Callithrix jacchus: one gene and its partner. The protein of the gene in region 1 interacts with the protein of each later gene in a pairwise test. Links are inferred from orthologs where the notes say so. Each region holds a gene or a part of one and is shown in the gene's direction. Other genes may lie near its edges. The genes, in order: TPR and NUP153.

Evidence for each region.
Region 2: the proteins of TPR (region 1) and NUP153 interact in a two-hybrid assay, tested with the Homo sapiens proteins (3 studies listed by BioGRID, with this or other methods). The link is inferred for Callithrix jacchus from reciprocal best matches to the Homo sapiens genes TPR and NUP153.

What each region holds. Positions count from the first base shown.
Region 1 is NC_133519.1:44,340,526-44,344,345, reverse strand, and holds part of TPR (nucleoprotein TPR), read left to right. Parts: intron 1-1,115; coding exon 1,116-1,234; intron 1,235-3,820.
Region 2 is NC_133505.1:13,137,694-13,142,174, forward strand, and holds the end of NUP153 (nuclear pore complex protein Nup153), read left to right. Parts: intron 1-2,340; coding exon 2,341-2,506; intron 2,507-2,812; coding exon 2,813-2,897; 3' UTR 2,898-3,950; downstream 3,951-4,481. UniProt on the Homo sapiens protein: Component of the nuclear pore complex (NPC), a complex required for the trafficking across the nuclear envelope. Functions as a scaffolding element in the nuclear phase of the NPC essential for normal nucleocytoplasmic transport of proteins and mRNAs.

The sequences.
Region 1 (3,820 bases):
ATTTGGGATTACAGGCATGAGCCACTGTGCCAAGTCTAATTTTTAATAAAATGAAAAGGTTGGACTACCTCATAATCAGAAGCATAGCTAAGAAGTAGAACCCAGATTTTCTAATAGAACTCAAGGATTTATTTTATTTAGCGACTTTTTTTAGAGTAATTACAGGCCAACTCTTCCATATGATGACAAAAGCAGGTCTGTTGTGATTCTTTTGTTATTCTTTAACACAGTGCTGCTTAATTTTGAGAGGTTACAGACTCTTTTGAAAACACTAGCTGACACTAATTCTGTACCGCATATGCAAGTCACTTTACAAATGTCATTTCTAACCTATACAGTATCCCTGTTAAGCATTGTCTCTGTTATACAAATAAGAAAACTGAGGCTCAAAGCATGTTAAAATAACTTGCTTAAACTGCACTACTTTGGAAGCAGCTCAGAATGGATTGGAAGCCCTGACTTCAGCCCATAGTCTATACACTTCACCAGCAGTATTCAGTTTCAGCACAGTCCTGGGAGATACTCAGATGACTTGTCAGCTAATGAAGTTTGCAAATAACTTAAACTGGAGCAGATTCATGTTATTCTTGTACCATCTCCCTCATTTGTGTCTTGAATGGAACAGAGAAAGATGGAGTTGTAGCCACTGAGCCAGGATTTTTACATACCTATTGCCTGTGTCATCTGGGCTAGAGTCTGTGGTTTAGTTACTAATATACCATTTAATAGTGTGACTTGTGAACTTTTTAATACTGTGCTTTCGTAAAATGTTTTGAGATTTATCAAAATCTGGACCATATATTTTCTTATGAGTGTCAAGATGTGAACAACCTTGTCAAAAGGAAAAAGGAAACATAAAAAGAGGAAAGTCATAAACTAAAATTGGAATGTGTTATAGTGAGAAAAGGAGTGAGGAAAAAGCAACTGTTTGAACTGTTTTCCCCTCTGCTCCTTTGAAAAATATATATGGTTACCAAATCAGTCTGTAATTTTTTTCTTTAAGGGAGCTCTGGATTACTTAAGTAATCTTAAGTGATAACAGATTTAAAAGAGTAGAAATAGGATAGACTCTAGAATCAGTTTTATATTTTCTAATTAATTTTTCTTTTCCTTAGTATTAGTTCAGAAGCAGGCCTAGAAATTGATAGCCAACAGGAAGAAGAGCCGGTTCAAGCCTCTGATGAGTCAGATCTCCCCTCCACCAGCCAGGATCCTCCTTCCAGCTCATCTGTAGGTGAGTCCCTGCCCTTGACCACAATACAACTTTTATGCATCAAACTTGTTTGTGAGAACACTGCTTTCTTAGTAACAACATATTAGTAACAAATTAATAATCATTGTTTCCTTTATTTTAAAATGCTTTATTTAAAAGAGAAATTTTATTATTAAAGGGAACTTGGTTTATATTGAAATCATTATTCTAAGACTATTCTGGCATCGATAATAAGAAATATGGACATGGTGAATCCATCCCAAAAGAATAGCTCACTCATGTTTCATCTGGAATAATGGTTGTCGACAGATGTTCTGTAGAGCTCTTGGGTCTTTTAGAGGTGCTGTTGGGGTTGGAGTCGATGGGTACACTGGGAGGGAAGCTAAGGAGTGCTAGGGTGTGCCAGGCCCCTTGCCTCTGTTTGAACCACAGTCGCTCCATTTTTATTTATTCTGCATACTGGGATTCTACATGAGATTTGATGTGGAGAGTTGAGGGGTAGGAGTTCCATTGCTTAAAAAAAATTGTTTGAAATTTACTGAGGTAAACAGTTTCAGAATTTGACTTTTCAAATTTTTGAAGTTAATTTTGAAAAAAGATGTATTATTCCTGTAATAAAAGTTTTTTTTAGAATGACAGCATTTACTGAACACTTACTGTGTATCAGGCAGTATTCTGAGCCCTTTACCTATATATACTCATTTGATTCTCACAACTCAATGTGGTAGATATTCATCCACATTCTATAGATGTGGAGGCTGAGGCACAGAAAGGGTGAATAGCCTCTTCAAAGTGAAATAGCTAATAAGTAATGGACAAGCAACAATTACACCAAAGAAGTCTGGCTCCAGAGACTCCACTCTTAAACAGTACAATGTGGTAGCTTGTCTACTTCAGATTCTTAGACAGAGAATTACCTTTATTATTAAGGATTTACAGTAGTTGGTCATTCACTCAGATTATTTTAATTTTGAATTGTTTACAGTGGTAATTCTCAAACTCTGCCATGGAACCTTCAGATTTTATGGCACACCTGCTCAGTTATTTATTACTTTTTCAAAATCACAGAACTTTGCTATCCCAAGATCTCTTCCCCTGCCTCTCAGCTGCTTTGATATGACACATGAACCTATTGGCTAACCTCCCTGAGTTCAGATCCAATATCTACCTTTTCATATCTGGTAACTTTAAATTTCTGTACATTTATGTAATATGGATACTCATAACTAATCTTGCAATCAGGATTTAAAATAATGTATGTAAATTATAGAACCATTTCATAGGCAGTAAGGCTCAAAAAATTTATAACTATCATATTAATAATTACTGAGCTTTTATGCCCCCGGTTATATTTTGATGTCCCATAAAAATTGGCTTCCCTCAAGAGAATTGGCACTTACTATATCTTATCAGAACTTTCATGAGAAAATATGGTTGTTGGTCCCTTTGAAAGTATCAATGAAATTAAGATGTCTTTAAATTTGTTTGATAATGTAAAATGTACTTCTGAGTAGTTATTCATTTGGTCAACAAATAAATACTTGATAATGTAGCAGGCAGTTTCATAGGAAGCATCACTAAGAGAAGGTGACATTTAAGTAAAGACCTGAAAGAAGAAAGGGATCAAAGCTGGGCAGTTATTTAATAAAAAGCATACTGGATCGAAGAAAATACTAACAGATGTCAAGTCCGTAAGGCAGCAGGTATCTGCTTGTGTTCAGGGTCAACAAGGAGGCCATGTGCCTGAAGCAGAGTGAATGAGAACAGAGACTAGCAGGAGATATATTAGGGGCGGGAGAGGATAGATCAGGCACATCATTGTAATTGCCTTGGCTCTCTCATGGATACCGGGAGCTATTGGAAGGCTTCACACAAATAATGACCTGACATTATCTGATCAGTTTGGCTGCTATGTACAGAAGAGATTGGAAATGAATAATGGACAGAAACAAGGACAAACTTTGGAGGCTGTTGGAGTAATTCAGGAAAAGATAGTGGTGGCTTAGGTGAATGGTAGAGTTGGGGTTGTGAGAGGTAGTCAGATTTGGGATATATATTTAAATTTGAGCATTCAGAATTTGCTAATGATTGCGTTTGGGGTGTCTGAAAAAGAAGAATCAGATATAATTTGTGTTCTATTGTAGGCTGTTGCTGAGGGACTTGATATTTTGTTTTCTATTGTATTTCTCAGCACCTGGCACTATGCTTGATACAGGAGGAGTCAAGAAGTAAATATTTATTAATATAAGTGAAGAAATGAAAATAGTCAAGTGCTTCTGTTTTTTCTGAGGCAGTGTCTTGCCTGTTTCCCAGGCTGGAGTACAGTGGCTTGATCATAGCTCATGCAGCCTCAACCTCACCTGGACTCAAGTGATCCCCTAGCCTCAGCCTCCTAACTGGGACTGTAAGCATGTTTTACCATGCCCAGTTAATTGTTTTATGATTTTGTAAAACATAGGGTCACGCTGTGTTGCCCAGGCTTGTCTCAAACTCCTGAGCTCAAGTGATCTTCCCGTCTTAGCCTCCCAAAGTGCTGCTTTTATCATTGTTGTTGTTTAACCATTTACCCTTTTTGGTTTGTTAAATGTTCCTCATTGTTTAAAAAAA
Region 2 (4,481 bases), on another chromosome or scaffold:
TTCCCGGGTGTCATGTCTTTTCTGTTACTCACTTTTCTGATACAGCACATCTTTCAGTGATTCTTGAGGGTTCAGGGATGAAAATTTTGAGGCCATACATGTCTGCAAGGATCCATATCTCTCCACATTTGGTAAGATTTTGATTGAATATAGATGTAGATTGGAAATCATTTTCATAATTTTGAAGGCATTCTCTCTTGTAGACTTTCTGGCTTCCAGAGTTGCATGAAGTCTTGGTCTTTGCTCTTTGGCCTGTTTCTTCTTTCTGGAATCGTTAGACTCTTCTCTTTTGCCTCCAGTGTTCTGTTACATCAGGACGTCTTGATGTGTATCCATTTTTATCCTTCGTGTAAGGAGTGCAGCATGCTCTTTTGTGAACATTTTGGGGAATTTTCCAGCATTATTTATTGAAGATTTTGCCCTTTATCATTCCTTTCTTTCTCACCTTTTATCTTTTTGTTGTACTTTCTGAGATTTATCTTTCATTACCTGTTCTGTTGAGATTTTAACTTCCACTATTGTGACTTTAATTTCCAAGTACTCTTTTTTATTTTCTGGATGTTTCTTTTTTATGCTCTGTGTTCCCCCACCCAGTCCCCCAGTGGATGAAGTATTCATTAAAGACACCGAGTTTGGATTTTTTTCCTTGATGTTTTGTTTCCTTGCTGAGTCAGTTTTCCTAAAATTACTTTTATTATTTTTGTCTCAGTGTTTCTTATTAAATACTGTCCTCAAATGTCTGGTACTCCTTGGCTACCTAGTTAACGTTTTTATGAGTGTAGGACACTTAAATACCACTTAAATCCTTTCTGTGTTGATAGGGCTTGCAGATCTCAAATTTCATTGTAGATTTATCTGGTTTCTCTATTTCACTAGATGAAAGGATGTTAGTATCCTTCTTTCTTTCCACTTAGTCTGTCAGATTCCCCAGAGAAGATGCATCCAGTCTCCTGCTTGGAGGGCATCAGGGAACTTCCATTTGCCAGTGTTCTGGAAGTTAAGATTTGGAAGATGGCTGGAGCCCTTAGTATTTAATGAATATTGAACCTACTCTTAATTCCCATTTTCAAAATGATATTCTTACTGTTAACTATATGTGGTATTCCCCAGTCCAGACACTTGTACAAAGACTTCTGTTCTGGTGAGGTGAAAGAGGAGAATTACTGTCTTCTTTTTTTTTTCTCCTTTTGAGATGGGGTCTCACTCTGTTGACCAGGCAGGAGAGCAGTGGCACAATCCGGGCTCACTGCATTCTCGACCCCCTGGGCTTGAGATCTTCCCACCTCAGCCTCTTGAGTGGCTGGGATTACAGGTGCACACCATTATACCCAGCTAATTTAAATAATTTTTTTATAGAGATGAGGTCTCTCCATGTTGCCCAAGCTGGTCTCAAACTCCTGGGCTCAAACAGTTCACCTGCCTTGGTCTCCCAAAGTGCTATTACAGGCATGAACCACTGCACCCCACTGAGAATTACTATCTTGGTGTTGGGAGGGGAGGGATTGGTCCTGGATATCTGCTATCCTTCCTTTCTCTGTCTCTCTCTCTCTTTTTTTTTTTGAGACGGAGTTTCGCTCTTGTTACCCAGGCTGGAGTGCAATGGCGCAATCTCGGCTCACCGCAACCTCCGCCTCCTGGGTTCAGGCAATTCTCCTGCCTCAGCCTCCTGAGTAGCTGGGATTACAGGCACGCACCACCGTGCCCGGCTAATTTTTTGTAATTTTTTTAGTAGAGACGGGGTTTCACCATGTTGACCAGGATGGTCTCGATCTGTTGACCTCGTGATCCACCCGCCTCGGCCTCCCAAAGTGCTGGGATTACAGGCTTGAGCCACCGCGCCCGGCCCCTCTCTCTCTTTTTTAATTCCTGCCTTAATTCTCACTTCCAGAGGTATTTGGAACCTAAACGTTTTGGGTATGTTTGGTATAAATGCAATTGCTTCTGTTCTTTACCTGCTGCTAGTTCCGTATCAACTCTATCAGCCTTCCAGCTTCTAAACCTTTGTTGCTGTGGTCACCTCTCTCTCTATCTTTGTAAAAATCCCTTGTTGTTTTAATGCACTGTTCAAAGAAGATAGAGCTAAATGTCTTTATTGATTTCACTATCTTTAACCAGAAGTCCAGGCTGCCCTTTTCCCCTTGGTCATAGGTAAGTTGTGTGATTTGTTGGAGGTGTCAAGTATGTACTGTGTGTTAGTGGAGAAAATATTTTAGTTTTCTTTGGATTAAGAGACCAAAATATCTTAATTGTCTGCATGTGTTTATATGTAGAGGTCAGAGTCATTAATTTCAAAACGTATCATTTTGCCCTAGTGAAGTATTTCTGCTTCAATTCTTATAGGTTCGGTTTTCCAGTTCGGCAGCAGCACTACAAATTTCAACTTCACAAACAACAATCCATCAGGAGTGTTCACATTTGGTGCAAATTCTAGCACACCTGCAGCCTCAGCCCAGCCTTCAGGCTCGGGGGGCTTTCCGTTTAACCCGTCTCCAGCATTTACAGTGGGGTAAGAGAATTTTTTATTGAAATGGAGAATTTACATTGGTTAGGGTATGTACATGTATATATTTTGTTTTCAAAAGTTACCAAGATCCAGTATGGTTTGGGTAAAATTAAATATGTTCTCCAACATAAATTGACCATACTGCAATTCTGGAGGATTATATTATAGTTTGAGAAAAGAAACAGTAATGCGTGTGTTAGGTATAGCAGAAAATGTATATAACAGTTGCTGCTGCTCATGGTAAATGTTAGGATTCGGAAATTTTGCTCCGAGCATCATACCACATTATGAAGCTTTTATTTTTTACAGGTCAAATGGGAAAAATGTGTTCTCATCTTCTGGAACTGCAGTCCCTGGCCGCAAGATAAAGACTGCTGTTAGACGCAGAAAATAAAGGTCACATTGGTGTTATACGCAATTTTAACAGCTCGTGCCTGCTTTCAGATACTGAGTTGGACTTTGCGCTAGGGTTATCTGAAGTCAGATCTGCCTAAGGACTTCTTTAATTTTGGATTTTTCCTCCTTTCCCTTTCTTTACAGAAGCCCCACCCTGCTTCATCTACCCTCTTTTTAAAAATAATAGCTAGACTGGTGACTGATTCTGCAGCAAAAATATTTTATGATCCAGCAGATTATTCACTGATTTGACATAGTCTGGCTGTTCCCAGGAATGGAGCCTGCACGGCAAATGGCTTTGTATAGAACCTCTTTGTCTACACCATTATGTGCGCTGATAAGCGTTTACGGAACGCGTTGAAATTGTAATTATATCTGAGGAATTCTGTATAGATTAGAATTCTGTATAGATTAGAGAATGTTGAAATGGATGATTTCTATGCTGAGTTTGTGCTGGTGTATGTGTGAAGTGAGTGAGTTGGGTGTATTGTGCACTAAACTTTTCTGATAGAGGAAGCCTGATTAAAGAATGGTCCGTGCTAAGGACTTGTTAGATCTAGTTCATTCTCCATTTAATAATTACATGCTATTTCTATATTTTCATTCTTCTATCACCTGTCTTGCCTTTTTCATTATTTTATTATGAAACTTGTGTAAATACAATTTTGTTTCTGTACTTTTTTGGCATAACATAAATCTGTGAACTTGAAATTTGAATTTTGTGTTAGAGATTTTTTTGTTGTTTGTTTAGTCTTGTCTCAGATTTTATTATATAAGTCCCATTATTCAAAGTTGCCTAAATCCATTTGGAAATCTTTAAAAAAAATTGGAGATTCTTAAAGTTGAATTTATTGGCTTTTCTGATCCAGTTTTGTTTGGACCAAAAACCAGTATTGTACAAAGTATTAAGCATATATTTTTATATTTACTAAAATGGACTGTGGTGACTTTGGATAATAAGGAAAAGTTTAATATTAAAGCCATGTTTATTACAGTATAATTAACATGTTAAACCATGGGATAAATGCCATCAATAAAAAATTATGACATACTTTTTGTTCTAGTATTACCTCATAATGAAGGTACACAGTCTTATTGGGACAGGACTATTAAAAGGTTAACAGTGGCTCATTAGAAGATAAATGCCAAAAAGTACATTGACATGATTCAGAAAACTCCTAAGAGAAGGGGAAAGTAATTTGCACATCAATTTACATACCTTTAAAAAACAGTTGAAAGTAAACACACATCCATTTCACTTTGTGCTTGTATCTTCCTTGGTAAGTTACTGGATAGTGTAAGTATTATTTTATTGTTTTTTTTAACTGGATTGTTTTCCTGTGGTTCACAAAAGAATTCTTGGAACAGTATTTGGTAATTTTATTTTTCAGTTTGAATGTAGTTATTTTGTGCTCAGTTTTAATTTGCTGAACTTCTGGTTGGTTGAAGTTTCTTTCTTTTCCAAGATGGAGTCTCTCCCTATAGCCCAGGCTGTGGTGCAGTGGTGTGATCTTAGTTCACTGCAACCTCCGCCTCCCGGGTTCAAGCAATTCTCCTGTCACCTTCCCGAGTAGCTGGGACT